Linked DNA regions of Astyanax mexicanus. The protein of the gene in region 1 interacts with the protein of each later gene in a biochemical or structural test. Links are inferred from orthologs where the notes say so. Each region holds a gene or a part of one and is shown on either strand. Other genes may lie near its edges. The genes, in order: dapk3 and pawr.

Region 1 (16,994 bases):
ATGAAGTCTTTGGCCAGTTCACTGGTGTTGCTGAAATATTCCTCATCAAAGTCATAGTTAACTGCAGAGATGTTAGTCAGAGTTTCCTGTTTAGTCTCCCCAAGAAAAGGAGATGCTCCACTCAACCTGCAGAACACAATCACTGATTACACATAGATTGACTGACGAAATGTTATACACAGAAAAACACACATACAATAAGAAAAACAGATATATGGGTAGAAATAAAAACAGACATACAGAAGGATAGACTGACAACTATATACAGACTGACTATACAAAGCTAGCCAGATAACAATATTAACAGAGAGAAGGAAGCCTGCAGTAAGAGTGATCTCTGGTTTTAATACTTACAGGATGTATGTAATAACCCCAATGCTCCTGCAGAAGAAGAGAAATTAACCAGTTTTCAAATTATTAATTGCTTGAAATTATTATTTGGACAAAAAAACACTATTATACTAACCACATGTCTGCTTCCAGACCCAGGGGTTCATAATTCACAATCTCTGGAGCTGTTTGTAAAGGAGAGCAGAAATAATAAACATCACATCACCAAAATTTATTATTTGATTATTTTGTAATATTTATAGAAAACCTAAAATGGAAACTACAGATCGTTTGCCATTATACACAGCCTAACACTGTACTGCAGAAGTTTTTTAAAAATCTCCTACCAACAAACTCTGGAGTCCCAAAGATGTTTTTAAATTCATTTCCTGCTTTTATCTGGTGAGCAATGCCAAAATCTATCAACTTGATCCTGGGGTTGGGAACGTTCTTATCCAGCAGCATGATGTTCTCTGGCTGCAACACAAAATCAGGAAACAGGTCAAGACCCATGCAGACAATATACAAAAGGTCCTCCAATAAGATAAAATGACAGTGACATTCTGGAAAAGACCTTTGGACTTTTTAGTTTGGTCTGAGCCAAGAAAAAGCAGATCAACAAAGAACAAAGGACCAACATTTTGTCAGACAAATTGAGGTGGTCTCGGTCCCCATCAACTGAAGCATCATTGATAAGTCAAAGAACTTTTTAAGTAGTTCAGCCGGATAAATCAGAATAGATCACCTCACAGAACAGTACGAGCACAACTGATTGTGCTCGTGATTCCTCTATCTACTGTAACTGTAGATTAACCCTTATTTATAAACAGAACTAAAGGAATCTAAGGGAAATCTGTTCTATATACTGATTCTAGTAAGGTGCAGAATTGGCTTCAAACACCTGGAAAGGCAACTGGTGAACTGACAACATTCTAAAAAAACAAGAAAAGGAAAATTCAGTCCACGTATAATCTGAAGTCCACTACCTAAACCTTATACATTTTGTACATTAATTAATAATGTGCATTACTTACCTTGAGATCAAAGTGGGCAATGTGTTTGGAGTGCAGATAGTGAACTCCATCCAGGATCTGCTTGAGAAACTGTGTGGCCTCCTCCTCAGTCAGGGACTCCTTCTCAGCCAGGAAGTCGAAGAGCTCCCCACCGGACACCAGTTCCAGAATGAGGATGACGTCAGTCTTGTTCTCAAAGATGTCGTGCAGAGTAATGATGTTACTGTGCTGGATCTCCCTCAGGATGTTCACCTCTCGCTCGATCTCCTCCCGGCTCACGCCACGTCGGCTGGACGACAGGCGGCGTTTCTTGATAAACTTGGCGGCATACTCTGCACCCGTGCTTTTCTCACGACACTTACGGACAATGGCGAACTGACCACTGGGGAGGAAACACACACACAGACACACACAGACACACACAGACACACACAGACACACACAGACACACACAGACACACACAGACACACACAGACACACACAGACACACACAAATGTTTTGGAACATCAAACCAATTTAAATATTAGTCAAAGACAACACAGGTAAACACAAAATGCTGTTTTTAAATGAAGGTGGTTATTATTAAGGGAGAAAAAAATCCAAACCTACATGGCCCTGTGTGAAAAAGTGATTGCCCCCTTGTTAAAACATACCATCACTGTGGTTTCTGACACCTGAGTACACTGTCTCTAGCCACACCCAGGCCTGATTATTACCACACCCGTTTCTTAATCAAGACATCATTTAAATAGGACCTGCCTGACAAAGTGAAGTCCACCAAAAGCTACACATCATGCCGAGATCCAAAGAAATTCAGGAACAATTGAGAAAGAAGATAATTGAGATCTATCAGTCTGGAAAGGGTTATAAAGCCATTTCCAAACCTTTGGGAATCCAGCGAACCACAGTGAGAGACATTGTCCACAAATGGAGAAGACATGGAACAGTGGTGAACTTTCCAAGGAGTGACCGGCCGCCCAAAATTACCGCAAGAGCGCAGCGACGACTCATCCAAGAGGTCACAAAAGACCCCACAACAACATCCAAAGAACTGCTGGACTCAATTGCCTCAGATAAGGTCAGTGTTCATGCCTCCACCATCAGAAAAAGACTGGGCAAAAATGGCCTACATGGCAAAGTTCCTATACTAAAACCACTGCTGAGCTGAACATTAAAGCTCGTCTCATAAAAGAAACACTGCATTCCAGAAAAAGAACAACCAACAGTAAAACATGGTGGTGGTAGTGTGATGGTCTGGGGCTGTTTTGCTGTGTCAGGGCCTGGAAGACTTGCTGTGATAAATTGAACTATGAATTCTGCTGTCTACCAAAAGATCCTGAAGGAGAATGTCCGACCATCTGTTCGAAACCTCAAGCTGAAACAAACTTGGGTTTTGCAGCAGGACAATGATCCAAAACACACCAGCAAGTCCACCTCTGATTGGCTGAAAAAAACAAAATAAAGACTGGCCTAGTCAAAGTCCTGACCTGAATCCGACTGAGAAGCTATGACATGACTTTAAAAAGTTCATGCTCGAATACCCTCCAATGTGGCTGAATTACAACAATTCTGTAAAGATGAGTGGAGCTCAAACCATTAGTTAGGAATGCTGGATGATTAGCATCCAACCACATCATCACCATCTCATCTAAAAGCGTATTGGATGGACCACAATCATTCCAGAGACCACAGTCCCACTGCTACACAGCTCAATGCTGGGGGGATTTATACCCCTCTAGCCAAGGCCTGGCATTGGGATGGTGCCAGCAGGTTAAGGTTTATCTACTCTAGAGTCCTCTGCCGAAGTTCAGTTATGTGACTCCTTTCCTGCGCTCCCTCCACTGTCTTTCTGCTGCTGATCCAAAACCTTACGCTGGCCTACAAAATCAAAAGCAGACAAGCTCCTTTATATTTGATGCGTCAAAGCCAGATTGGCACCAAGAAATCTTCAAGCTTCCAGTGCGGCTCATCTTGACTCACCATTCTTTAAGTTCCAAAAGAATCCGGACATCCTGACTGTTCTCTCTCCTGGGACCAAGATGGTGGAACATAATGCAAAGATGACACAATGTAAAAGGCGGAACTAGTAGAAGTGTTGCAACCCGGAGTGAAAACTGTTAGTGTTTTTGCCCAAAGTGCTTTGATACTATCTGCGTGTCCTGGTCAGATATGGGATTATATCCTCCCGAGTGCAATGCAACTCCAACCAGAAGAATTTTAAGCTCTGTTCACAACGACCACAGTTGTTTACTTCCACTCAGACATCTCAATCTCCTTTAAATCTTTTTTTGGTCTCTGTCTTGTCATTTTACTTATATAGCTAGCTAAAGTACATTAGTTTACAAAGACTATTAAAATGTGCAATTATCTATTATTTGCCTTGCAAAATACTACACAGATCAACCACAACATTAAAACCAGCTCTGCATATACATTACACTGGTCAGTTATAACATTATACATCACCTTCTGTTTCTGCTTTCCTTGTAGCTGGTTTTAATATTGTGGCTGAAGCTTACCATTACCACAACAACATTAATCCTGGATTTCTTTTTTATTAATTATTGATCAATTTAAATAACTAGGATTTTTTAAATAAACAAAAACAGTGTCAGGGAGCCTATTAAACAGCTGGATTTGTTATGGATAGTTAGAGATTCTGTACCTAAAAGTACCAAGCAGTCAAGCAACAAGGGGGAAAAAATGCTGTATAAAAGAAAAGATGCATCAAGATGCCCAATAATCGTTTTATAAATCACACTGCAGACCTCTTAATCGTAATCAAATTGTAAGGTGCCTAGAGATTCCCATCCCAAAGTAAAAAACAAAGCACTTTTGTAAGTTGCTATTGTAGAAGGGCGTCTGCTAAATACCTTAAATGTAAATGTAAATCTATTGTATTGGCATTTGGCAATACATTTACAGGTACTAGACAAGTTGTGTTTTTGCATTTGCAGGGGTAAGCTATGTTAGCCTCTCCTATATAAACTAAAGAAGCACATTATATACCCAACATGTCTTGGTTGAATTGGTTGAATTCAATCTCAGATTTTTCACTGCACTGCTCCTTTAAAAAAAGTGTGAGATCATAGAAAGTTTCTCAGCTGGTTAGCGCTCCTGATGATGCTGCAAGTCATAAATTGTGGATATAAACTAAGTGAGGCTGAGAACTGTTATAGAGTCTACGATAGACGTTCCTGCAGTCTGAGTAATCTGTAATCTGGTGTGCAGCACAGCTGTTTTCTGGCAAACGCTGAGAAAAAGACAGACAGAGATGATGTCATCCTGCATTAAAGCTCCACTGCCTTTTATAGGAAAGCAAACTGTGTGTGTGTGTGTTTATGACTCATTCTTTGTGTGAATTAAAATTCCTCACTAGTGTGAGAGGAAGGCACTTACGTAAAGGTAAAATAAGCAGAGTATCTTTATCGCAGCCGCATCAGTGTGTGTGTTAGTACAGAGTGCTCTAAAACACACTGTGCTTCACTGCAGCGCGACAGTGTTTATGCTGACTTAGAGCAAACAAAAGAAAGCGTAACAGTATGACATTCTTCCGCATTAGTCTGAATCTGGTTTAATATAAAAACTTCAATCCAAAGATCATTGCTAACACACAACTGAAGAAACAGTCCTATACTTACTAGGGGTGTAAGAAAACACTGATATATTGTAGTATAACAATACTGTATCAATACTTAAAAACACAGCATTTACTTAAATAGTAAGTAGTAGTAATAAATACAATTACATTTAAAGATAATATACTTTTCTTTTACCCAGAATTTTTAATGTGTTGGTATTTACCAATTATGAAAGGTTTTCTAAAATAAAAACACAAACAAACAAACAGAACATATTGTTTTGCTTATGGTGTTGCAGTTTATCGTAAGCTTCTTTAAATTACAATGGAACATCAATGTTTTCTAACACTGAACTACCAATAGCAAAAAAATAAATAATAGCAATTTCTAACACTGAACTATCAATAGCAAAAACAAAAAATAAATATCCACATTTAGAGCCCATTGCTCAAATCAGATGTGGCTGTCTTGACGGTTCACATACACAAATATAAGTGAGCTGTATCTGTGTGTAATGTGAACGAATCTGTCCCTGAAATGCCTCACACGCGCACACTAATACATGTATAAACGACTCGTAGTTTTAAAAAAAGGGAAATGATGCTTTAGCAGTTCATATGTGGAGCATCTTTTGCTGGAGTGGAGAGTAAACAGCTGGTCTGAAGTTCATGCTCAGGTCGAGGAGGTGAAAAAAGGGCCAGGCGGTTTGCTTTTGCTGTTTTTGCAGCTATAGCTGCACCAAGAGATGTGTGGGTACCAGAGAGAAACACGTAGCGCATGCGTAAAAGAAAAAAAAGACACATGAATTTGACCGTTCACATTTATGTAGCATGTCCATGGTTCAGGTTAAGCAAGTTCGATTTAGCAACACATAAAGAAGTGGCTCAGATCTGAATAAAAAAAAATAAAAAAATCGCATTTGGCACGTGCACACAGCCTTAAAAAGAAAATCTGAGCCACATTGAGCAAAAAAATCTAATTTGAGTCACTTTAGCCTGGTTTTGTGAACATAGCCAATAATCCTGTTCATGATTTCAAAAAGGTAAAAGGAAAAACATTACTTGTACATAACTTTGATTAATTATGTAATAATTAATATTATTTAGACTTTTTTAAACTCTTTTTAACAAACCTAGCAATAATTACCTCTGTGTCACTTTTAGCAGATCACTGTAAGTCACTGATGTACATCACTCTGTCTTACAGGCACTACTTCACAACCCCACCATTAAAACCCAGCCTATGTTGACTAATCTAACCAAATTCACAGCCGTCATGACTTACTCATCAGAGCTAACGACGTAGCGTCTTACCTGCCTAGCTCCTCCCCCATCTCATAGAACTTCTCCACATCCTCCTGCCTGAAGCCAGCCATGACTCGCTGACCTTACCCACAGTCCACACTTGGGTCAACAAATCCTGTAACAGAGGAGATAACAGGACATCCTGAATATGTCTCTTTCTGTAGGCTAAACAGGTTCATCATAGGCTCATCATAGGCTCATTATGAGTGTCTAAACTGCTGTACACTAAATAAACATACAATCTGTAATATATCAGTACTGACTTGGCCAAAAAATCTCAAATATATTTCTCACCTAAAATGAATTTTAAACATTTTGAAAGGTCACGTTTTACTAGCTGAATAATATTTCTGCGTATTCTGCATTATATGTCTGAATAAAGCCAGACAGCATTAAATCATCATTTTGTTCTCATTGTGTGAATTTACAGATATAGTTGAATGCAAATAGATGTGACGGATTTACATTAATTAAACATTAAATTATTTTTTTTAAACCAAAACAATAATCAAACATTTTTTTTCTAATTTCCATTACTTTTTAAAAACATTCTTAAAAAAAAAAAAATAAAAACCATATAAAAACCTGTAAATGTCAACACTTTGAAACTACAACTAAAACTTAATTTTAATAAAAAAAAAATTAAAGGTGTTTTCTCAAGCCATTTAAATCACTGTTTTCTTATGGACATAGTTTGGCAAAACCTACAAAATTAAGAGAAATTATTAATAATCAGTGTTTTATGAACTCTTCATCTGCATTTATCACTATAATAAAAATATATACTCCCCTATTGCCCACCTTTAATAGTTTGACAAACATTTAACTTTCAAATGTTTCTTTCTTCTAAATAAGGAATATTCCTTTTAATAGTCCAGATATGGACAATAATAGCTTAAAGTATGAAATAAATAAGTTATACTCAGCCAAAATGAGCTTAACAGACCCTGACATGAGTCTTGGGGATCAGTAATGTGTTTAATGAGTGCAAATACCAATCCTGCTACATCATCATCATCATCATCTTCATCCAGAACAGACAAACGTGAGCTTTATCGCTTAAAAAATGACTGATATTTATATTTCATAACATGTTTATTGTCTCCAATTTCACTAATATTCTAATTAAGGTCAGATGTGAATTGGTAAAAGACTTTTTCTGTTAAACGAGGTTTATTTTGGAGTTTAAAAAGAATTGTCAGTTCCACCTTAAACGGTCCTGCAGTTAACATAGAACTGCTGCACTATTTAAGGTGGAACGGATAATTTGAAAAGAAGCAGAACTTCTTAACTACACAAATCATGTTAAACTAAACCCTAACACTGGTCGGCTCTCATACACAGTTACAGACACACAGAGAGGTAGAGAGATAATGCGGTTTAACTTCAGTTAAATATTCACTAAAACCCGCTGCCTTTTAACGCTGACTTTAGCTTCTTAGCTAACCTAGGTTAACTCCACATCTCAGAGCCTCCTGAGCCTTTAAACAAACCCGGGAATCCTTTATTTTACTCTCCACACTAACCTGTACTTAACATATAACTGTATAAACTTAATACATGTCTTCATCAGGGTTATTTAATCTGTTTAAAGCTTTACATGTGAATAAAATGTAAATACTGTACTCACAGACCGGACAGCTGCATTCCCCGCGGGCGGTGTTTCCGCTCCAGCGCCGCCCAGCGGCCGCGCTCGGGTATTAACGCCGCGGTGACGTCAGGAGTCGTGCTGCAATAAAAAAGCTTCGTCGTATAAACCTATACACAAACTCTACCCAGATAATTAGACATTTTCTAACATTTAAACACCACTTTAAAACACAATGTTATATCTTGTTATTTACCTGAAATTGTCAATATGTATAAAAGAGGATAAAAAATAAGCACCTTTTTTAATAATATAATAATAATAAACATTATTTATGTAGCACCTCAGTGCAGCTCAAAGTGCTTTACATAGAGAAAAAGAGAGTAAGAAATAGTTCACAAGCACAACATTATCCATAAGACTGATATAAAATATTGTTTATTTAGGTAACTACTAGAGTATTGTTTATTTATGTATGTATTATTTGGTCTTTTGGTAAATGACAGAGATAAATGTACCAATGCATATATCACACATTTTAGACTTTTAATGGCCAGGTTTTGTATGAATAAATGTAAATTCTCAGGCAAGACCCTTTTGTTGCTTTTGAAACAAGGATGAAACATTGTGTTAAACTCATGGACCCTTTAATACAAAAGTTATTAAAACTGTTACAACGTGTGTATTTTAAGATATTTATGTAACTGTGTATATCCCCCAAGCATTAGCAAAATGATTACTATATTAAGCATATTATTACGTGTATATTATGTTATTTGCATTTGATATTGTAGATATTGTAACAAATTCAGCTTAAGACCAATTTTTTGGTCATCCAAAAAAAAACATACCCTATGCTGGTAGGCTAGCTCGTTAAACAGCTCTTGACCAGCATGATGTGTTTTTTTTTTTTTGGGTGACCAGCTGGTCTTAAGCTGTATTTGTTAGCAGGTAGCATTTTTATCAAGGCTGTGTTTACTGTCAATCAAAAAGGTTCTTCATGTACAGACCCATGTCTGGCATATTGCAAATATTATACTTTTGTTGGGTAAATAATATATACTTAACAGCAGATTTTTTTTTTTTACAATTTTCCCAATGTTTATTTCTTCTTAATGGCCTAAGAAAAAAATCAAGAAATTTAAGAGAAAAAGTAATAGAATTCCTGGAAATAAGAAGGCCTCATGAATCGCAATCTTCTTTCTGCTATGATTTTATTGGTTTTATCCCTGTCATCCATATTTATTAAATATTGTAAAATTGCATTTTTACTCTTCTGTTTCTCATTATATTTATGTCCTTATTTGATTCAAGGAATATGGTAGTATGGTTCTATTTTTTAGTCTATTATGACTAGATAGGCCTATTCTCAGTTGCTGCATTTTGTACAGAGGAAATTAAAACTACAAATAAATTATTTAATACTGTTTTCAGTACACAAATGCAACATTATCTATAATCTACGTGTTATTATAATTATTTGTAGTCGTAATAGTAATTGCGGTGGAATATATTTACATTGAATATAATTCCTATTAGAATAAAAGACACCCACTTTCAACATATCACATTTCTGTATATTTTTAAAGTCAGGTTAGAGGGGCTGGTGTGCATGAAAAACTGAGGACAGGACACAAACATTTGGCACAAACTTCAGTTTACAGTGTAAGATTGAGCTTTAACTCTTAGTTATCAATAAATTATCCTTTTATAAAAGTGCACTATGCAAATTTATGTTTCTAAACCCCTAACATCTGTTTATTTACTGTAAATCAATCATTAAACTGAGATATCACTGTGTTAAAGAGCCCCGTTTCAGACTGACAGCTGCGTGAGCCACTCCCGTAGGTGCTGGCGCTGGGCAGGGATCGGACCAATAAGACGCCGCGGTTAGCTCGGGATCGGGATCTGTGGCCGTGCCTCAGTGCAGATGGAGGAAGAACAACAGTAAGACAGTATGAGATTAATGCGGAGCCTCATCTGGACAGCTCTGTTCATTAAACAGGTACTGACACCACACAGCACAGACACGTTCAGTCTACTGGTCAGTTACGCTGAAGGAAATATGTAGATAAGGACAAATAAACACAGATTCGCTTTAGTTTAGATGAAGGTTAGCTCATCCTGTTAACATGCTAACGCTAGGAGACAGGATGAAGCCTTCAGGCCCCGAAACCTTTAAACCTGATTTACAGCTTTATATATAATGTTTAGTTAATTATATTATGAAGGGCGAAAAGAGAATTAAGACTGTCTGATAAAATACTCTTAACACGGAGTTGAAGTTAGGGTTTTCCAGTTTTCCTTTCCACCTTAAATAATCCTCTGACTGCTGCACTATTTAAGGTGGAATGAAAAATTCGCACAGAAACAAAGAACTTTACCGTTTGTAAGTTTAGTGAATTATTTAGTTAACTAGTTTACTTACTGATTATGTATTATCCACTGTAAATTATTGAGCAAGTTTACATTTTAGTATCTGTTATAAATTGTTAAGGATCCACTGACTTATTCAGTGTTATTAATTGTGAAGTAAATTTGTTCAGCTAGCTGTGTTCTCGTCTGCAGGCTGTGGGAGAATATGGCATGGCTCATTTTAGTGAGTGGGGAAAGAGTAAAGGGAAGGATTACTGCATCTTCTTCAACTCTCAGTGGGCTCGGCTACCTCAGGACCTTAATAAAGCAGTAAGTTATTCAACTTCTCTACAAATACACATGCTTACCTTGCTGTAAACACAAACATAAACTAATTGCCAGCTAATTGCAGGAGTGGCTAAGTGGAATAGCAGTGTTAGCTTAGCATCTCCTGTTGTACATTAAAGTATCATACAGCAGATGCCAGTAGTCCTGCAGATATGATGTCCCAAAAAGATTGTGCTTAACAATAACATTTTCATTTTAAGACCATTTATGCCCTCATATAATAATCTTACACTAGTATTTGAATGCAGTTACACCCTTTCAAAGAGCAGTAAGCTTTTAATGAGTAAGAATATTAAGGCATAACAACGTGCCAAGGGTCTCTGAGGGGTCCAGCTGACTCCGGTGGGTACTAAGTGGGTAGCCTTACAAATTGGGGAGAAAATTGGAAAAAAATTGTATATATACAGTTCTGGAAAATAATAAAAAACAACTTAAAAATGAGAAGTTTCTTTAACTTTACCAAATTGAACACATCTGGAATATAATCAAGAGGAAGATGGATGATCTAATTGGCAATATTAAATGTTGTCCGAAGTTTATATATAAAAAAAACAATGTTCGTTTTACTCAATAATATACCTATAAATAAGAGAATCTGATTCAGAAACTGAGGTGCTCTCTTTATTTTTTCCAGAGATATACTGTATTATAAGCCACTCTATTAATGAATGTCTATTTCCTTGTATATTTTCTGGTGTATTTTTATACATAAGGCACACCAGATAACAAGGCACATTTTAAATGACAATAGTAAGGAATAAGGGTGTTACACAGTAATGTACACACATTGCTCTCATGAAAACTGTTAATTTGGGCGAGTAAAGTGCTTCAGTTTATTCACAGTAAGCTTAGATTTCCAATATTGTCAACAGAGTGTTAGCAGCAGCGCTAGCCACTGTTAGCAGGGTTTAGCGCTAGTAAATCATCAGCTAGTAAATCATCACCTGACTGGTAGAATTTGTTCATAATGCACACTGATGTTTGGAAGTGTGCCTTATAGTGTGAAAAATGTGGTAAAAACAAAGGACATCAGTAATGTTTATGGGCTCGTCGCACTAAGAAGCCCCAATGGGCAACATTGAGATCAACATAAATCATTAAGGTCATGTTCATATATTGTAAAAAATGTAATTATCATAATTATCATGAAAGACCAAGATGCCAGACATGTCTTGGCTAATTGACTATATCTGAGGGCAGGTCTTAATTTCCTGTACCTGTATTTATGATCTTAATCAGTGTATGGTGTGTATGTATATTATATATACTGATTTTCTGTGTGTTTGTTCAGTCTCGTCTGCTGGCGTATGACTTGACAGCTTCAGTGCTGTGTTCTGCCTCTGATGTGCCGGAAGGCGGCTTCCCAAATCGGATCCCCATGGTGCTGCGTGGGAATTGTACCTTCTATGAGAAAGTGCGTCTGGCGCAGATTAACGGAGCCAAAGGCCTGCTGATCGTCAGCAAGGACCGGCTGGTGAGGACTCTGGGGAGTGTGAGGGTAGCAGATGGGTGTGAGGGTAACGGTTTACAAAGAATTAATGTAAATAGGCATTTCATATAGAACTGTTATTTAGCTTTTCAAGGTGTTGCTTGAACAGTGTTGAATAAAATAATATTTACCTTTCTCTCTACTGGGACTATTTACAGTTTAATTAACTAATAAATACACCCACCAGTTTTCTTTTTTTTTTTTTTTTTTTATGAAAAATACCTTATCTACTCAGTAAATCTCTGATATTAGAATGAAAAACAGTGTTTAATGATTCTTTGTTCTTCAAACTAGCTCACAAGATCTCAACAGTAAAACCACTGAAACTCTAGAAAGAACATTTTCCCTATAGTATATGGTGTTATTTTCTACTAAATAATAATCTGTATTTTATCATAACCAATATTTAGCATTTTTTATGATCTTTTGGCTAATTCTTTCCAATGATTCATATGTAACTATGGGTAAAATCCATATGTGCTGTGTTTACTTTGGCCGAGATAAGCTTCGGGGCCACTTCTTGAAATTGGTACAAAATATAGTACACCTACTCAGTATTTTGATGACTATTTGAGACACTTGTGCACTCCATGAGGGCTGACTGTGTGTTTTAACTACTGACAGGAACATATGGTGGCTGTTCAAGGTTTGGGAGCAGTCGTCTTGTTTTACTGTGTGTTGGCCCCTGAGCATGTACACTATACACTTTGTGATTTCTGTAAAGGCCTTTATGATATGGTTAAGTGGGTGTTACTGAATTGACTGCTCTATTATTGTGAGTTTTCTACTAGACCTTCTTCACTGTTCAGACGTTTAAACTGAAGATTATGAGTAACTTTTTTTTTTTTTTTTTCTTAGATCCCGCCCTTTGGAAACAAGACGCAGTATGAGGAGATTGATATCCCAGTGGCTTTGCTGAGCTATGCTGACATGCTGGACATAAGCAAGGTGACCTTTCTTTTTGTGAAAAAGGTTTATAGCAACATTATGTAGCAGCTTTATATAGCATCAAATCTGTGTTGATAGTACACAGACTAAAAAAAGAGAAAAAATCCTAACTGCATAACTCTTCATAACCTGCATAAAAGTCCTTTGTGGAAATGGTTTTAGTGCCTCAGTCCACATGCTTTTTTTCACTGTCAGTGACCATTCTTTATCTCTCAGCTTGTCTAAAAAATGTATATATATATGTAAAGCTTGTCCATAAGTGGAGGTTCAAAGTGCTTCACTTCCCAACTGTAGGGGGAGCCCACAAGCAGACATTACCTATTTTCACATAATGCTGCTTTAGGTGCTAACACATTTTTGAACCATCACTAGATAACGGCATATGTGTTCCTAACAGAGTTTTGGAGAGCAGTGGCAGGTCGCGATGTATGCCCCCAATGAGCCAGTGGTGGACTACAACATGGTGATCATCTTCCTGATGGCAGTAGGGACAGTGGCAGTGGGAGGATACTGGGCTGGCAGCAGGGACATTAAGAAGTAAGTACTCTTTATATACAGCCTTGTTTGTACATTAGGCATGTCCAGCTCCCGTGGTTGTGCTGTGGTCTTTCTCCACTACAGTATAGATCATGTCTGTTTGAGAAATTAAGTAACTAAAGTGGTAGAAGATGAGTATTCCTTAAGGTGTGTGTGTGTTTCATATGTGAGGTTCCTGAGTGTTTCTGTGTGTGTTTTACAGACGCTACATGAAACATAAGCGAGATGACAGTACGGAGAAGCAGGATGAGGAAACTGTGGACGTTACCCCTATCATGATTGCTGTATTTGTGGTGATGTGCTGCTCCATGCTGGTGCTCCTGTATCTTTTCTACGATCACTTGGGTAAACACCCCCCCCCCCCCCACACACACACACACACACCAGCAGACCTCTGATATCCGGGGCCGTTATCTACTGAAATGGCATCTGATTAGATCATGTTAACTAGGATCTGATCAGTGCGTAACATACATAAGGCCCTTGCATTAATCTGTCATGTCAAACCTGTGACCCCTGTGAAACAACCATTTTCCTCATCAGTTTGTTTACTGTAGATAAAATGCATAGCTTGTTGCTGTCTGTTACTGACAAACGGTAATTTTAAATGATAATTGATTGATTTTCTTAAAATTCAGGGTAATAAATTTCTGAAAAAATGAAGAAAATAATTGTATTTAGCATGATTTCCTTTATTGGTTGTGATAGATGAGCTCCATCCTCATCCCCAACTTTCCAAAACTCATCCACAACTTTTCAACTAATCCCTAACTCATCCTCACCTTATTACAGTATCATCCAGCTATTGATGTATGAACAACAAAACACAGTTGCACTGCTCTACAGCTCAATAAAGGGGGGGCTTTATACCCACACCTAGCATTAGGCATGGTGCCAATAGGTACATGTTGTTGAAAGTATTGGGTTATTTCGGCATATTTTGTTTGTAATAATAATAATAAGAAGAAGAAGAAGAGCAGCAACAATAACAACAACAACAACTGCAGGAAAAAAGATTTTACTTTTGACTTCTGTACTTTTCTATTGATATCTCTCAAAGTATTGAATTAACTGTATGTTGCAGCAAATTGTAGTAGTAACCGCATGAGCACATAGCGGAGAACAGATCTGTAATATATAGCCTTATAATCAACATGCTGATTGTCTCACAGATGCTGATAACTCTTTATTGAATGATTTAGAATATTGTGGTGTTTGGTGGTATATATGTTGTTTTAATTAATAATTGAATTACTCAGGCCTTCTCCTTTGTGTTGTTCATGTTCTTGCTAATGTGTGTGTGTGTGTGTGTTGTGTTTGCAGTGTATATGATCATCGTGATCTTCTGCCTGGCGTCTTCTGTGGGTCTGTACAGCTGCCTCTGGCCTTTTGTCCGCAGAATCCCATTTGGGAAATGCAGGTGAGAGACAGAAATGCCTGTTCAGGATTTTAGCCATGTCTCTACAGCACTAATCCACCAACAAATCAATTCACAAGTACAGACCAAAGGTGCTGATTTAAGCATATTATGTGTTTTAGTCCCTGTTTATAGACAGTATTGTGCACTTTTCACACACTAAACCTGGGATATACTATGTTTCCCACTAATGTATTGACTCCCTTGTTCATATATGACTCTATTATAGGGAAACTACTAGATCAACTTTATGCAAATTTCCACTTTGGCTTTTGTTCACCCTGAGCCGGTTTAATGTGCACACCTGACTTGGGCTTTACAGTGTTAGAAATCTCAATGTTTACAAGAGCATGAATGAACATTGTGTAATATGCACATGCAGTTAACACCATACTAATTGGTAAATATATATTAAATAATCATCTTGTGATGGATGTCAATTAGTTTTTACTCTGATGATGAATAATGTATGATGTATCATATTTAGTAAAAGACAGAACAGCATGCAAATACTGCAGCTGGTTTTACCATAAACCCAAAAAACATCTCTCCTGTATGAGCTATAAGTATTTTGAGACCTTAGAATTATTTTCATAATCCCCCTGGTGAGGGTTCTGAAATCTTAACGCATTGCCTCCATGTGATTTGTGTTTGTGATTCTGCATCACTGCAGTTTAAATATGTTAATATGTGGGTGGGAACAGAACAATGTGTTAAAGTCAGCAAATACAGAGAGGTGTGTGAGTGTGCGCATGCACAGTGGGTCACTCGAGCAGACCAGTGCAGCTGTTTGCTGTCCAAAATAAATGATCACTTTTTTGGTTACCTGTATATAAGTATCGTGAGACACATTAACACCCAATGAGAAAAATGTGCTGTTTTAATCTCATGCAAAAGATCTCATCACCCCCTAGATTCTATTACTTGTTATTTGCTGCAAGAGAAGATTTATTGTATTGATGAAATATTGATGAAAGTTGGTATTTGTGTGTTGAATAGGATTCCAGAGAATAACCTGCCATATTGTCACAAGAGGCCACAGGTGCGAATGCTGCTGCTGTCTGCATTCTGTGTGAGCGTGAGCGTCACATGGGGTGTGTTCAGAAATGAGGACCAGTACGTATACTCTCTCCTTCTCCCTTTCTCTCACACACACAAACCTACATACAGTAATACTTATCTGCTTTGTGTGTGTGTGTGTGTTGCAGGTGGGCATGGGTGTTGCAGGATGCACTGGGCATCGCATTTTGCCTCTACATGCTGAAAACTATCAGATTGCCAACATTTAAAGTGAGTTCATTCAAAACATTACACAATATATTCTGACATACCAAGTGATGGGATAGCAGTTTGTACAGTTGTGTTTAAAATGATTTAACCCCCATTGCAGTAAAGTGTTTTTCTTTTTAGGAAATTGTTAGTTGTATGCCATATGTAATGGGACACAAACCTAACACGCTAAGTTTAACATTTATTTTTTAACTTGTTCGCAATCAGATTAAATAATAGACAAATGCAACTTCAATTATGACATTTTTTTCTAGTATACAAACATCCTTTATGTGATTTCCTCATTGACAAAAGTATTCAACCCCTTTAAGATTAACACACTCAAGAACATATGTTTCAATCAGGTGTTTTCAGGTATTGAAAACACCTGTAGATGTGAACAGAACCACAACAATCGGCAATTTAGGCAGATTTTAAAGGACTTAGACACTCAGCTTTTCCTTCTGGACAGTTAATGGTCTCTTTGCAACATGGTGAACATTTTAAGAGACACATTTCAATGATTCACAAGTTTGAAGGCACAGTGAAAACACTACCTGGACGTGGCAGAAGGAGGATGCTGTCGGCGACTGCTGTCCAGAACCTGAAACCAAAGGTGGAGAAAAATCCCCAGCTGACAGCTGAGAAACTGCTACAGGACTTGTCAGAGGGAGGTACTCAGGTTTCGGCCCAGAAAATAAGGCCCACGCTGCAAGATGAAGGCCTCTGTGTCAGAACTCCCAGGCCAGTCCCCCCCAAAGTGTAAGAAGAGTTGACTCCAGTATGCTAAAAACAATGTGGACAAACCACAAA
Region 2 (17,137 bases), on another chromosome or scaffold:
TGGGAGGGTGGCCACAGCAGAAAGTGAAGGCATCCCAAATGCCACAGAAACTGTCCTATAGGATTTAGTTCTTACGGCTGGATAAATGCCTTGAAAATAATCCACACCAAAGGTGGAAGATCTTAGCACCTCATAAATAAACATCCAGTAGAAACTACCCCGTAGTACTGCACCCTCATACAGTAAATTAAGCTGTTCCATAGACTTCATGCTTAAGTGACAGTCCTGATTTTTTTTAAATTGCAACAATCCAAGCCACAAGCAAAATCTACCTTTGTTGGCGGAAGGTGGAAGCACCTCATGAACAAACATTCAACAGAATCTGCCCCCTAAGATTTGGGTCTTAGTGACAGAAATAGTCACATTTTTTGTACTAATGAAACCCTAACAGTCTCTAACAAAAGCTGCCTTGATGGTCGAAGGATATCACCTCAAAAGAAAAACATTCAACACAACAGTCCCATAGGCTTCAGGCCTTAAGGACAGAAATGTTCCTATATTTCACATAAATGCAACGCTAATAGCCACCAACTAAACTTACTCCAAAGAAAGCTAGCCCATATTCTGCAGAAACTGACCCACATGCCTCAGGCATTTGGGAAAGAAATGTTCTTAATTTGTAAAGAAATGCTAAAGCACCAGTAAAAGCTACCCCATAGGAAGCAGGAGGTGCCTAGTTAAGCAGAAGCTGTCTCAAGGACATTAGGTATTTTGGATAGAAATGGTTCCATATTTTACAAGAATGCAGCCCTAATAGCCTCTACCAGAAGCTTTACGTTAGGCAGAAGCCCTTAGCTTTTTATCAACAAACATCCAGAGCAGAAAGTACCATGTACAGTTCAGGTCTTAGGGACAGAATGGTTCCACATTTTGCAGACCTAATGCAATGTAACCCAACATACAACCTTATTCCCAGTAGAACCTACCTTGAAGAAGGAGGGCCTTAGCACCACAAACTTGTAGCAGCCAACTGCACCATAGGCTGCAGGTCTGTGAGCCTCACAATTCAAGAGTCCTCAATGAGGCATACAGTTGCTGACCCAAACAGTGAAGGTTTTAGCACCTTTGCCCTACAACAGAAGCTGTTATCGTTTAAGACAGGCCCGGAAACTCTTCCTTCAGGCACATAGAAGCTGCCCCAAACTACTGCCTACAATTTAAGCTTAGGGGCAGAAATAGTTCCAAATTTGGAGAAATGAAACCTAAACTGTCTCCAGTAGAAACATCTCAAAAAGCAGAAGGTTTTAGCACCTGTAGTCTATCACTCTCAAACTAAAGGAAGCACAAATGCCACAGAAAATTACCAACAGGCTTCAGGTCTCAGAGAAAGAAATTGCTGCCAAAAATGCAACCCTAATAGCCTCCAGTAGAGAAATCCCCATAGGCAGAAGTCCTTAGCACCCAAAATGCAACCCCAACTGTTTTCAATAGAAGCTAACTGGTAGGTGGAAGGTCTTAACGCTTCATTATTCAGCAGACACTGGCCTACAGGTCTTAAGGATAAAGGCCTAAAAGCCCTTTCATCAGACAAATAAAAGCTGGCCATTTTAAGCCCAATAATCTAAGTGTAAAATTGTCCAGTAGAACCTACCTTAAAGGTGAAAGACCTTATCACCTCATAAACGAACACCAGGCAGCCAACTGCAGCACAGGCCTGAGAGACTCACAATGAAGAGCCTTCAATGAGGTCATAGTGTGAAGGTTTAAGCGCCTCATGCTCTACAACAGAAGCTGCATTTATTGGGTAAAGGTCTGGAAACCCTACCTTCAGGCACATGGCAACTTCCCCATAGACTTTAGGTGTAAGGGACTAAAATGGTTCCAAATTCTACAAAAAATGCAACCATACTAGCCTCTAATAGAGCATATCCGGAGCTTTGAACATTATTTTTACTGTAAAATCTTTTTTATGGCTTTTAAGGTAGCAGGGGCTGCTGGCCTGTGTCTGGATCTGCGCTCTTGCTAGTTTTATCCTCTTTGCTAGTTTCTTCAGATTGGATATCGTGGGTAATTTCAACAGGGTGATGGTGTTTTTAAGTGTCTTATTACATTTTTGGAGTTATTGCGCCCTTGCAGGTATTGCAGAGTGCGATCAAGCTGAAAATTATTTTTACAAAACAAACTCCACAAATTAATGCCTTAGGTAGAAATTGCCCCTTAGGGTGAACTGAGGATCAACACCTATTATTCTTCATAGATAAGACGTTTCCCTGTGGCCTTAAAGTTAAAGTGTCTCAAACCGCCAACAGAAGCTTCCCCACAGGCAGCAAGACATAAAACCCTTGGGTAAAAGTTGCCCCAAAGGCAAGAAAGTCTCATAATGAAATTTCTGGCTCTGAGAAGAAGGTCTATCTGATCAAAATTAATATACCTATATGGCCACTGACACATCTGAACAGATTCTATAGTGTTACATTCAGAGAGTAATGATGCTCTTGCCTCACTTTAGGCCACAAATGCACAACTTCACCTCTTAAAAGGTAATAAAAACCCTGATCCTGTAAACTCATGCCTTAAGTCTGTAAACAAGGCAGGATAACCGTGATGTCTTTATTTTCATTTCGTAATTATTTAGAAGGCATTTTAAGGGAGCAGACAGGGAAGATGCAGACTAAGGCCCAATTCTGGCAGGCATTATGTAAAGGAAGCCTGTGGGTCTGAGCGATGATGTGAGGTTTAATGCTGGATCTCAGTCTGACAGCTAGATTGCACTGTACGCAACACTCCTTATTTTTCCACTTGGGTTACACAACTGTGATGAATTGAGGTGATCTGGGCTAAATCTGACCTGGCACAGCAAAGGAATGCAAGGACGAAAAGCACACCTAATACTTTCTTTAAAAAATAGTAAACCACTGCCTGAAACACAACACTGTGAATCTTACAGATTTTTCAAAACAATGAAAATAATAAAATAATGGATTTCTATATTTACATACAGACAAGCACGGCTTTAAACAGGTCCCAAGCAAGTTAAAGAACACAGCACTGATTTGTGGGATAGGCTGGTGAGGGCTCCTGCATTGAATGTGGATGTGATTTCTGTCAGTCGCTGTTCACATGGATAATTCTAGCCAGACGCCGCCGGTCACCATTATTATTTCCCCCACTGCACTGTCTAGTGTGGGTAGTAATATAAGCCTTCTATGGAGTATTCCTGGCACACACTGTAAGAGATGTTTTGCAAAGTTCTGCACAATTGTACATTCTTTGGCCACAGGGATCGCAAAGTGAGTGCAGAGGAATGGGACATTGTATTTCTGAAGTAGGTATTTAACATTTCTCCATCCATGTCCCTTACTGTGGCCCAGAACTTTACAAACTCCTTTAACTTAGTCCAAAAGCTTCCCAAACCCCCCTGTGTGCAGCCCAGCAGTTCATAAATCATACAATATTGCCCAGACCCAGCAAAATCTCTGTTACTGTTGCCCAGAACTACAATCCCATTATTTTAGCTTAGGACTTTGTAAGCTTCCGTTTGTGTGGCCCAGAACTTTACAAAGCCATTTACACAAATAACTGAAACCAGACACACTCAAGGCCAAGAGTTTCAGGCCAATAACATAAAGCAGGTTAAACTTACCTCATTTGACGGTATGCTGACGACCCCGGTTGACCTCCTCTTTTCCCGCAGCTTCCGTTTCTCTATTTGACCTTTTCCCTTTCTGGCACTGGGTCCAGAGCTTTTCTTCTCCTTGCCTTTCCCGTGCGGGGGGCTCTCCTTATCGCTGTCCGGGCAGGCGGTGGCAGCAGGGGGGCTGGGCTCCTTTTTAATAGGCGTCTCGGCTGGCCTGGAGTTGGGATCATCCTCGGGCCTCCTCAGAGCAGAAGAGGAGGAAGACCGAACAACCGGATAGGCCACGCAGTTCACGGCCGCAGAGTTTCCGTTGTTGCTCGGTTCTGGGGGTTTGGTGCCGGTGCTGCCCGTGACCTGCAGGCCGGAAGGTGGGCACTGCCCGGTCGCCGCGGCAATGTCCCCCAGCATCTTGGCCCTCATCTTCTCTCGCTTAGCCTTCCACTCCTCCAAGAAATCCGTGGCAGCATTGGCTTTGAACCCGCCGGATGCCATGCTCGTCCCTCTTTCGGACCGGTTCTTTTTGCTGGCTTTTCCTGGCTCAGAAGGTTTCGCTTCTGCTTTGTTTTCAGCTCCGAAAAAAATTAAGCAGGACGGACTTCACCTTCCTCTCTGGATCAGGAACGCCACATTCCTCCACACAGTAACAGGAGCAGAAAAGGGAAGCCTGGAAACACACACATGCACACACATACATACACACAAACACACAGTCTGCTGTCACTGATTACACACACAGCAGCCAACTGGAGATAAACACACTGTGATGGTCACATGATCACAGTAAACACACATACAGTGGTGGGAAAAAGTATTTGCCCCCTTTCAGACTTCTTTTGTTTTGGCATTTTTTGTCAACCCTTCCACCCCATAAAATAACTGTGATTAATCACACTTTTTGGAAAGCTGTCTTCAATTTTACAAACCACAACCAGGCCTGGTTACTGCCAGATCTATACAATCATGAAATCACTTAAATAGAACCTGTTTGAAAAAATGAAGCAAACAAAAGATATCAAAAAGCAATATATTATGACCCAATCTGAAGAAATTCAAAAACAGATCAGAAAACAAAGTCATTGTTCATCTATCAGTCTGGAAAAGGTTACACAATCATTTCTAAGGCTTTGGGACTCCAGCGAACCACAGTGAGAGCTATTATTCACAAAAATTAAGAAAACATAAAACACAGGTGAACCTTCCCAGGGGGGACCAGCTGACCAAAATTATTATAAAAAGGGCATGGACAACTCATCCAGGAGGTTACAAAAGAACCCAGAACAACAGTTAAAGAACTGCAGGTCTTACTTGCCTCCGTTAAGGTCAGTGTTAATGATTCATTAATAATAAGGAAACTGGGAGAGTTCCAGGGCAAAAAACATTGCTGACCAAAAAAACAAAATGGCCCATTTCATATAAAACATTTTGATGATCCCCAGGATTTTGGGTAAATATTATTTGGACTGACGTGGAACTTTTTGGAAGGTGTGTGTCCTGTTACATCTCGCGTAAAAACTAACACATAATTTCAGAAAATGAACATCATGCTTAATGTAAAACATGGTGGTGTTAGTGTGATGGTCTGGGTTGCTTTTCTGCTTCAGGTCCTGGACAACTTGCTGTAATAGATGTAACCTGGAATTCTGCTGTTTACCAGAAAATCCTAAAAGATGATGTCTGGGCATCATTTCATGACCTCAAGCTTAGGCGTATTTGGGTTCTGCAGCAGGACAATTAACAAGTCCACCTCTGAATTGCTTAAATTACAGTTTTGGAATGGCCTAGTCAAAGCTTGATTGAGATGCTATGGATGACCTTAAACAGGCTGTTTATGCTCGAAAATTCTTCAATGTGGCTGAAATAAAACAATTCTGCAAACAAAAGTTGAACAAAATTCCAAACACCAAAAAGAGAAGTGAAAGATTCATAGCCAGTAATCGGTAAAGCTTGATTGCAGTTGTTGCCGCCAAGGGTGGCCCAACCATGTTATTAGAAGAAATTAGGTTTAGGGAGCAAACACTTTTTCACACAGGGCTAGATTGGTTTGGACAGTTTTCCTTTAATAAATGACATTATTATTTTAAAAGTGCTTTTTATACTTACTCAGGTTAACTTTGTGTGATATAATGTTTGTTTGATAATCAGAAAAATATCAGTATGACAAAAAAGCAAAAACAAAATAAATACTGTATGCACTATAATGCCAAAAGTATACTCTCACCCATCCAAATCATTGAACACAGGTTCCAATCACAATCACAGGTGTATAAAGGCATGTAGACTGCTTCTACAAACATTAGTGAAAAAATCGGTCTCTCTCAGGAGCTCAGTTAATTCCAGTGTGGTAATGTGATAGAATGCAGCACCTGTGTCCAATTGTGAAATTTCTTCATTACTAAATATTCCACAGCCAACTGTGATATTATAACAAAATAGAAGCAACTGGAAACAAATTGAACAGAATGGGGTCAGCGGATGCTGAAGAACACAGTGCACAAAGGAACCAATCAGTACAGACCTCTCAACTTCATGTGGCCTTAGTAGAGAGCTGAGCAGCAGTATATGGCTGAGCATCTCCAAGCCTTACAGCACCAAACGCAATTCAATCGAGTGGATACTTTTGGCAATATAGTGTATATATAATACACACGCAAACACACACATACACACTTAACTATCGGTAAACACTGTAGATGGCACAGATCTGATACCCAGTCTGACACAGATCAGATATTAGAGGATAATTCTGGAATCAGATATCAGATCACGCAAAACTGGCCAATATGCAATAAGCAGGTAAAAAGTAGATTTAAAAAACTGCTATCAAACACTCCATATTAAACTAGACTAATTCTAAAATTCCAATATCAGACTGATATGTAACTTAATTACAGATATTGGGCCAGAATTGAATTATACGCTAATTTCAATATCAGATCAGAAAACCACTTGCGGATCAGTAACAGATGATACCCAAATTCCAATATAAATTCAAAGACTGAAAATCAACCGATAATCACGTCCCAATATGGGATAAATGCGAACCAATATTGGATCAGTATTCATACAGTCTAATATCAGACAGGTATTAGACAATACTTATATATCACATCATGTTGTGTCTCTCGATTCTGAAATACTAATATCTGTTTGTATCAGGTGATGCTTAAATACCAGTCTTGTATCATTTCAGATTCCAATATCAGTTGATACTCTAATATCGGATCAATTTTAGTCAATTTTCAAATTCCAGGCATTACCTGATGCTTAAATTTCAATTAAGCAACTAATACCAAATGTTTTCTATTGTGCCATGCATGCTTAAAATGAAAACACACACACAGGCACACGCATACACACACACACACAACACAGGTCCACATTCCAAAACTCTCAAACACACACACTTGTTGGCATTAAACTCAAACAAACATCACACACACACACACACACACACACACACACACACACACACACACACACACACACTCTGTCTCTATCTATCTCTATCTCTCTCTTTCACAGAAGTTAAAACATATCTTCAGCCACTAAACACACATACTTGCTGTCTTAAAACTTCACATTCTCTTACCTACCAACACACACACATTCTCTCACTAACCTGTTGGTTGTCACTAAAGGTTTACAAAACACACACACACACACACACACACACACACACACACACACACACACACACACACACACACACACACAGCTCCACAGTCAGCGGTCCCCCCTCTCGCTGAGTCCGGGCTGAGGGCGCTGTGCGGGGGCTGTGGGGCAGGCTGTGCCCAGGTGGAGCTCCAGGATCGGTGGAGAGACTGCAGCGCTCCGTCCCACAGTCTGCCACGGGAAACACTGCCCCCAACCCGTCTAAACCACGAGACAAGCCCCGGTAACTCACCTGCTCTCCGTCCCGCAGACACACACACGGTAAACCAGTCCGGTCTCTCACTTTCCCCAAGTAAGTCTCTCTCGCTCTCTCTCTCTCTCTCTCGAGCGCGCGCGCGTTCCCGGTCACTTTACGGAAACCCACGAGCGCACACGAAAAGTTCGATCAAAGCTTTACACCACACCCGTACTCCGACAGGCCACGCCCTCCTCCGCTACGATTGGCTGTTTTGTGCTTAACGTTGAAAAAATGATCTTGACATAAATCTTATGGCCAAAAGTATTGAGACAGCTGTTTATCCACTGTTTCTACTAAAATCAAGAGTAATAAAAAATAGTTTATTCTCCTTTTTAGAGTACATTTTATATATTGTATAAATATATATATATATATAGATTTATACTGTCTCTACTGTTCAGAGAATACTTCCTACTAGATTCTGGACTCATTGCTCTGAGGATTTGATTATATATATTTTAGTTATATTAGTTTATTTGCTCCAGACAGTCCTTTTCTATTGGCAGCAATGTACAGGGTCTAGGCAACCTGTGCTGTGTGCATTTGCACACCTCTTTTAGCATTGAGTGGTAAGTAGCTAAATGTAGTGTTCATTAGAAGGGTGTCAGCAAATATTTGAACATACAGCTCTTGAAAAAAAAAGGACCACTTTTAAAATATTAGTTTCTATGATTTAACCAGACATCTGGACTATAATCAAGAGGAAGATGGATGATCACATTGAAGACATAAAACCAAGCTGAATTGCTTGAATCCAAAAGCAGTGTGTAAGACTGGTGTAGATAAACATGTCAAGAGGCATTAAAACTGTGATTAAAAACCAGGGTTAATTTACCAAATATTGATTTTTTTTTATGAATATGAACATGTTTTCTTTGCATTATTTGAGGTCTAAAAGCTCTGCATCTTTTTTGTTATTGCAGCCATTTCTTATTTTCTGCCAATAAATGCTCTAAATGACAATATTTTTATTTGGAATGGATATATTTTTTTTGGTGGTTGCAATGGTTTTGCTAAGTGTTTGCTTGATGTTTGGTAAGATATTGCCTTGGTATAAAAATTGGTTGCTAAAGTATTAGTAAGGTGTATAGTAAGGTGTTGCTAAGGTGTTGCTGGGCAGTTGCTAAGGTGTGCTATGGTATAGGTGTTGCTAGGTGTTTGTTTAGGTGTTGCTATGTTTTATGCTAGCAGAATACTTATCTGTGTGATTGTAATGATGATACGGTTGAACATGTAGGTATACAGGTTCCGAATGACATCCTGCACCTTTACCCACAGATGATGCAGCTGGACCAGTAGATCCTGCCCTATACTTGTAGGTTGCTAAAGCTGCCATGCCAGCTGCTCCCGTAAATGCTAGATTGGTGCTCTCATAAATTCAGGTCCGGACAGGACAAGGTGTAGCATATTTTGTGAAGACATTTCTGGGAAACCCTTGCTGTGTGTGGGTGAGCATTATCCTGCTGAAAAAGGGCAATTTAAAAGCCATGAGAGTAAGCAACATGTGTGTCTGCAGGATGTCCTGCATTTAGCTGAGCTGTAAGTGTTCCTCGTTTCACTACTAGGGGTGACTAACTGTTGCATGTGATGCTCCCCAGATTATTACACCAGCAGTTGGGGCAGTGTGTCGCTCTTTAGCAATGGCAGGATTGAAGCGCTTACCATGTTGTAGAGGCATGTCTAGCAGTCAACAAACTCTCACCAAGAGGTAACTACCCAAAGGTAGCTGCTAGGAGCCTTCTTATAGGGTAGCAAGGGAAAACATTTTATGCCCTCTTGTGGTAAAATCCAGCATCTAATTAGTCCTCACCTGTAATCATTTACATATCTGTCTGAGACAGAACTGCATGCCAGGTTTGCAGCATATTCAACATTAATACTTTGTCCAGTTACTTTCCTTCAGCACTGCATATATTACAGTGTGGGGGTTGTAATGGCATCTGTGTGAAGAGATGCAATGTGAGGTGTTTTGCAGTGTTAATAAATGTTGAACGTTCTTGTCACTGCTCCTGGAGGCCTGTGAAATGGTGTGATGTTATTGGTGCAGGAAAGTGTACACTGGTAAGACAACTGAAGCTTGGGCTGGATTGGGTAATCAGTGCTAGCAGCGTTAGCTGAATGCAAGCTGTTTTCATAGTCTATAATAATGCTGCAATTTTCATTACCAGTGAGTGTTGTCCTGGCCTCAGGCATCTTCAGCACATGAAAGAGCAGGCCTAACGAGTGTTAACCTGCTGGAAACGGCTCTTCCACTCTGGCCCCGCCTCACACGCTTTATCAGACTGGTTCTTTAAGGGCTTGGCCTGCCCAGAAATGCCTGAAGAGACCATGAGAGTGTCAGTGTGGCCGTTTGTTCCTTGGGGTAGATTTACAAAGACATATGAACCCATTGAACAGCCAATAGCCTGTTTAAAAGATGTTCATCCAATATTCCTCATCAGAGAAGTGGACGGTGCTTCTGGACATGATGAAGATAAGGCTTCGACTTCTTTCTGCACAGTAAAATTATAAAAGGCATTAGTCGGAGTTTTGGTGCTAAAATGCAGAAATCAATGTGAAGTATATTAATACTAATTAATTAAATGAAGTTGGGCAAATAAAATATGAAATATTTTGGGTTTATACTCTTTGCAATCAAATGTAAGAAACTGTAAGAAACTGTAGACTGAAGGTGAAGGTGTAAAAATGAAATTTTAGGGTTGTTAGCATTCTCTTTGTAAGGGCTAACACATAAAGCAGTATAGGGGTTGTTGTAAAGAGTGTGCTCTATAAATAGCCTGTGTTCTAAAGAGTGAGGTCATGATTCTGCATGTTTAGCATTTTTCTGCCCGGTTTCAGAAAGGCTGAGGAGAACAGCTCTCCAGAGCCTGGGCTTTCAGTCCAGCCCGGCCCGGCTCGCCTTTCAGCTGCAGCCCACTTAGCATTCCAACAATCGGCTTTCTAAAGGAGCAGATAAGTGTGTAGTCCCGCCCTCGCCGGGCACTAAACCCACTGCCCTGCTGGATCACCCTGGAGACAGCAGCCGACGGGTAAAGCTGCCCAACAGGTTTTCCCCTTTCTCACACCGCCCTCACTCCTCACAATCACCATTTACCTTATAAACACAGTTCTGGAGAGGATCCTGAAACAGAATCTGAAGCTGAATTAATAGATTCATACCTTTCTAAAAAAATAATTCAGTTTCAAATAATCAGTTAGTTTTCTACACACTTTAAAAGTCGTTTGTATGTCAGCGTTGGCTTTCTCAGAGTAGCCAATTCACTTAAAAAAATACACATTATTTTTAAAAGATGTTTTATACATCTGGAATTTAAAAACATTTGACTCTAGAATAGACCTATTCTATTGAAGTACTTCTCTAAAGGGTCAAGAAAAGCTTTGGATCTGCATCTGTGTTAGCAATGAGCACAAATAAACATTACTTAAAAAACGTATTAGAATGGATTCACTAGAAAGAGAAGGTGTGTCCACAACAAACATTTGGACATTTAGTGTATTTGAGCCTCTAAGGTTTCATTCACACAGCAGGTCATATAGTGGCCAAAATCACCTTATTTTAGTCTGTACTGGGGTGTCGATCAATAAAAATCAGATTAATCACAACAATATTCTGATTATCTGCAATTAAACGCACTTGTTCTTCTTAAGACAAAAAATATGTAAAATGCAATTATATTTATATTAGTTGTGTCAAATAAAATGCTAGTAAATGTAACTTGTATGGGTACACAATTTCTTTTTAATTTGACCTATAGCTTACACTGGTCTGCGCTGTGTAATGTGCAGATGCTACATAACAGTGCTTCATGTGAAGTTTCAGTTTCCTTCTAGCCAGAATCTAAGAAGCTATGGTTTGCCTCCTTTTTTTTTTAAAGCTTTTTAGTTTCCTTTTATGCTGCGGCAATGCCAAATTACAAGAGACACCCGTACAGATATTTATGAGGTCTAGTACCTCACAATCCTACCACTGAACCCCTCCCTCACTGTTGTCCTCCATTTTCCTATCTACTACAGAAATTTATTTTTTATATGCTTGATCAAAAAGTTGCATGAGTTCTAATCTGGTTGATCAGACTTGAGTTGCATTGCAACAGATAATATATGTGTCAGATATGTCCTCATTTCGCAGAAAATGCAGCAGAAATAAAGTCGAGGTGGAGCCAGTGGGGTGTTTTGTCCATCAATCATCTAATGCCTGAGCTGCCCTCTAGTGGAAGCCTCCACTAACACATGTTGCACACAGGGAAGTATGTGAACCGTTACATTTACAATGCAAACGATGCACAAACCTATGGCCAAACAGCAAGTACACACCAGACTTCCCAAGTTTCCTGAAAGTTGCGGGAGCATATCAATAATGGCTTCCCGATGCCCGCAAGTCAGAAAAAATCTCGAGAACTAGATCTAGAACTAGTGGCCCAAGTGTGAACACAAACGCGCACACAGCGCGACACAGACTTTTTTCCATAATCGCATGAGTGAAAGAGAGGGAAAGGGAGAAAGGAGCTCCCCTTGTGTGCATATTTATGAACCGCATGCAAAACAGAGAGGGTTCTGATTGGCCTGTTCTCTGCAAAGAGTCTGTGAGTCAATCAGTTTTTACTGTGGGCAGGCTGTGTTTTTTTCCCCTCCTGGATGGGAGGGGCATCATGACTCTATCAAAACTTATTTCACCTCTGACCACTCTAAAGTATATCCATGTCTAGTTACAGTCTTGCCCACTGTACAGTCTGTGTTCAGTAGCTCCTCCATTTTCACTTGCTGATGTGTTTACATGGATCTCCGTGGAAACGAAAAAAGGGGTTTTCAGCCTGTAACTTTCTCAGTGTACGTCTGAGAAAAACACACACATGTACATTCCGGACGGCAATAAAAAGACCCCTCATAAAAGAGAAAATTACCCCAGGACCCCCTGAGAAACGAATCCCTTCTGAATAAGGCTTGAGAGGCATAAAACTGGGTACATGTTATTTTTTTGTTGTTGTTAAACGTATTATTCACAGATTATCCAATTTGCACACCTCAGCTAGTTTATTATTAATCACATACTCAGGGCAAAAGGGCAACTCTACAACTCTGCACATCATCTGAGACCAATTATTAACAGCACTGAACACTGAACTGAGATGTCACATAGAGTTTCAGTGACACTGACAGCAGTATTTACAGTAAATCAATCACAAAGTGTTACCTCAGGGGACAGCTGCACACACCTGTATAAGTTGTGAGGTGTTATTCTGTGTGAGAGAGGTTAAACACTGGCCAGTATGCTCATAGCTAGACCACGTGATTTAGGTTAGCTACATTACAGCATTAAGTATTGAGAAAGACTGCTGTGTACAAAAGTATTTATTTTACACTACATCGCAGAACAGACAATTATCGGCCCAATATTAAAAAAATGCATATTTTATCGCAAATTTAAACAGTGCGAGAGGGAATGCACACATCTACGCACACATTGGCCATCAAACACACTTACTAGGTTGCTAGGAAAATTGGTAGACAGGTCTAGAAGAATCAATCAATATGAGGTGCCCCAATACTGTACTCCTGTACATGTGTCTACATACATGAAGCACAGCTATAAATCAGCAGACATCCTGTTTGACATCAGCGGCTCAGCTTTCATATCGTTTATACCTCCAGTTCAGCCCAGTAATCCATACCAGCGCCAGCTGCAGCACATCTGGACCACAGACTCAAGAGTGAGTGAGTGTGTGTGTGAGTGTGTGTACAGAACGAGAATAATAGCAGCCTACCAGATGAAGACAAAAAGAACCTGGAGTGTTCTCTCACCACTCAGCGCCTGAACAGTGTCCGCTAATGAATTACTGCAGTATCCAACAGAATAAAGCTGTTCACTACAGTCCCACCAGCTGTTCTAACTCCACTCAATAACAACACACCACCTGCTATACTTTAGCTACAAGGCTAAAGATGCTAACAAGTAGTAGAAATGTATATCCCACCGGTAAGCTCTGAAATACAAGCTTATACTCCACCAAACAATTAGCACTGAAGCTATTAGGCTAATGTAGCTAACTAAGAAATTATAAAAGCTTATAGCCCACCAAACAATTAGCACTGGAGCTACGAGGCTAATGTAGTTAACTAACAAGTAATAAAAGTGTATACCCCACCAAACAATTAGCACTGGAGCTATAAGGCTAATGTAGTTAACTAACAAGTAATAAAAGTGTATACCCCACCAAACAATTAGCACTGGAGCTATAAGGCTAATGTAGTTAACTAACAAGTAATAAAAGTGTATACCCCACCAAACAATTAGCACTGAAGCTATTAGGCTAATGTAGCTAACTAAGAAATGATAAAAGCTTATAGCCCACCAAACAATTAGCACTGGAGCTACGAGGCTAATGTAGCTAACTAACAATTAATAAAAGCTTTTACCCCACCAAACAATTAGCACTGGAGCTATGAGGCTAATGTAGTTAACTAACAAATAATAAAAGCTTATACCCCACCAAACAATTAGCACTGGAGCTATGAGACTAATGTAGTTAATTAACAAGTGTGCCCAAATTTATGCGCCTGGCTAATTTTGTTTAAAGAATTATTGCATACTTTCTGTAAATCCTATAAACTTCATTTCACTTCTCAAATATCACTGTGTTCATCTGATGGTATATGGTATGGTATATTTACTGAAACTCTGGTATGGTATGGTATATTTACTGAAATTCCTGATCCAAATAACCAATGGTTTATTAAGGAAAATCATTAAAAAAATTATCAGGGGTGAGCAAACTTTTTCATACCACTGTAGATGTGACTGAGAAAATACCAAGATGTGCAAAGCTGTCATCTAAGCAAGAATTACTACTTTGAAGAATATAGAATATAAAAAATATAAAACATATTCTGGTTTGTGAATTTCGTATTTATCTAAAAAAAAAAAAAAAAAAAAAAAAACCCACTTAATTTATGGTGTGTCCTTACTTTTGACTTGTACTGTATGTGTGCACTGGCACCAACAGCAAAAGAACCTACAGAAACATATGCTGGCACAGCAGTGCTTCTTCACTTACTAATAGTAAAAAGAATATTTAGAACACAATATTTAGTAAACTAACCTGTGTTAGTGTGTAGGACACAATTAGGACATAGTCTGAGTATGTATCATGGATATTTGAGTATACTAAACTTTCACACTTTTATCTAAACTACACTCTGCACACTCACACCCTGGTTATTAGCATTAGTTATTCAGGCACAACTAGGACCCACCCAGTGAGTGTTTCTAAGGCAATGCTAAAGCTTTAGCCTTAAAGCGGTTTAGCATGTATAGTAGCTCTTCCAATTGACTCTTTGGCTTATTTACTCTTGTTTAATGCACCCTGTGTGTGTGTTTGTGTGTGTAGCAGCTTAAGTACAACCTATTTGTTCAGTTTTATAGATAGCAGGTGGTGGGATTACCACCCTGTTCTTGTAAACATCAGAGTAAACAAACCTTTATTTGGATAAATAGCATTTTAACATCTTCATCAAACACACACACGTACATACAGACACACACACCATTGGCATGAAGGCCTGGGCCTTCTCCATTCTTTCTTTCCTGCAGCACTTCACCGTGACAGTGCCAGCTGCATGATGCCATCTGCTCAGCTGTGAAGGCCAGTATTCCCAGTTCCCATCTAACTACTAGTTTATCAAGCTCCCCTCACCACCCCCATACAAATCTGTAAAGGTGAAGGAGATGGACTGGCCAGAGTATGTCTGCATTGATAAACCCTATTGAGGCATCCTCAAGCGGAAGGATATGTTTGGTGTTAATTATTTGCTCTGGGGTTTGTATGGCCCTCCTCACCCTGCTGAGGGGTTGGACTGGGAAAAGGGGACTCGTTTGTACTTTAAGGCCTGTTATTATAACATATGTGCACTAACATGCTAACATACAGCACCTGAAACACACACTGAGATTGTGAGATGGTAAGATGAAGGGTTTAGAGGCAGATGTGTAATATCCTGCTGCTGCTGCTCTATTACAGGAACAGGAAGAGAGGAATGTTGATTTGAGTAAAGCACTTCCTGTACAGCCGCATTCCAGCCTTCAGTACAAATCTCAGCACAGCCCTGTACACCCACACTCCCCCCTCCCCCCTCACCAGCACCTTCACCATTACTACACACCAAAATACCAGATACAATGCTGATCTACATCATTCAGTATGTATTTATTACTCAGTATGAATCATTTGCATATATTATCATTTATTTAATATGCACTGTAGTTTAATAGTTCAATATCCATTATGAATTATTTCTTACTGTAAAAACAGTGATTGTTATATTCATTATCTATTTATTTATTACTAAGAACCCAAAAATGACTTATTATTCAGTATATTCTTTTAACTATTCAGTATCACCTCTAAATTAAATATCTGTTGGGAATTATTTCATTTCACATATACAGTGCCCTCCATAATTATTGGCACCCCTGGTTAAGATGTGTTCTTTAGCTTCTCATAAATTGAGTTTTGTTCAAAATAATATAGGACCACGATGGAAAAAAAAGTAAAGTCCAACCTTTTACTCAAGTAAATTTTAAGGGGGAAATAAAATCCCTGACTAAGAAATAATTATTCTTCATAAAATCACCTGTTCCACAATTATTGGCACCCCTAACAATTCTTAGGAAATAAATTTAATAAAAGTATTTCTGTCACTTCTACAGTAGTTTACAAAGTTGATCAGAGTATGTAGGAACATTTAATTAGTAATTCACAACTTCCTGTTTCCCTGGGGTATAAATATGACGTGACACAGAGGCCATTTATCTTCAACATGGGAAAGACAAAGGAACATACCATTCAAGTGAGGCAGATGTGTGTTGACCTTCACAAGTCAGGCAATGGCTACAAGAAAATCGCTACTCGCCTACACCTGTCCATATCTACTGTCAGAGGAATTATTAAGAAGTTTAAAACAACTGGAACAGTGGTAAACAAGCCTGGACGAGGACGCAAGTTTATTTTGCCACCACGCACAGTGAGGAGGATGATAAGAGAAATAAAAAGTTCTCCAAAGCTCACTGTTACAGAATTGCAACAAATGGTAGCTTCTTGGGGTCACAAAGTCTCCAAAACAACCATCAGGCGCTATCTTCATGCCAACAAGCTGTTTGGGAGGCATGCACGGAAGAAACCATTTCTCACTCACAATCATAAACGCAAACGTTTGGAGTTTGCTAAGCGGTACTGGGACTTCAACTGGGACCGTGTGCTTTGGTCAGATGAAACAAAGATAGAGCTTTTTGGCAACAAATGCTCTAAGTGGGTCTGGCGTAACACAAGAGCTGAGTATGCAGAAAAGCACCTCATGCCCACTGTGAAATACGGCGGGGGATCAGTGATGCTGTGGGCCTTTCTCTTCTAAAGGCCCTGGGAACCTTGTTAGGGTGCATGGCATCATGAATGCTCTAAAATACCAGGACATTTTAAAACAAAATCTGGTGGCTTCTGCCCGAAAGCTGAAGATGGGTCGTCACTGGGTCTTTCAGCAAGATAATGACCCTAAACATGTGGCCAAATCTACACAGAAATGGTTCACCGCACACAGAATCAAGCTCCTCCCATGGCCATCTCAGTCCCCAGACCTCAACCCCATTGAAAACCTGTGGG

Evidence for each region.
Region 2: of the proteins of dapk3 (region 1) and pawr, one has a biochemical effect on the other in vitro, tested with the Homo sapiens proteins (2 studies listed by BioGRID). The link is inferred for Astyanax mexicanus from reciprocal best matches to the Homo sapiens genes DAPK3 and PAWR.

The regions. Positions count from the first base shown.
Region 1 is NC_064415.1:44,692,694-44,709,687, forward strand, and holds the start of dapk3 (death-associated protein kinase 3), read right to left. Parts: upstream 7,939-16,994; 5' UTR 7,861-7,938; intron 6,346-7,860; 5' UTR 6,302-6,345; coding exon 6,240-6,301; intron 1,726-6,239; coding exon 1,365-1,725; intron 808-1,364; coding exon 678-807; intron 516-677; coding exon 467-515; intron 382-466; coding exon 355-381; intron 127-354; coding exon 1-126. Other genes in the region: sppl2 (signal peptide peptidase-like 2), read left to right, coding at 9,776-9,823, 10,387-10,503, 11,813-11,995, 12,869-12,958, 13,356-13,495, 13,698-13,840, 14,819-14,915, 15,912-16,028 and 1 more. UniProt on the Homo sapiens protein: Serine/threonine kinase which is involved in the regulation of apoptosis, autophagy, transcription, translation and actin cytoskeleton reorganization. Involved in the regulation of smooth muscle contraction.
Region 2 is NC_064409.1:25,116,037-25,133,173, reverse strand, and holds the start of pawr (PRKC apoptosis WT1 regulator protein), read right to left. Parts: upstream 7,634-17,137; 5' UTR 7,482-7,633; intron 4,242-7,481; 5' UTR 4,070-4,241; coding exon 3,584-4,069; intron 1-3,583. UniProt on the Homo sapiens protein: Pro-apoptotic protein capable of selectively inducing apoptosis in cancer cells, sensitizing the cells to diverse apoptotic stimuli and causing regression of tumors in animal models.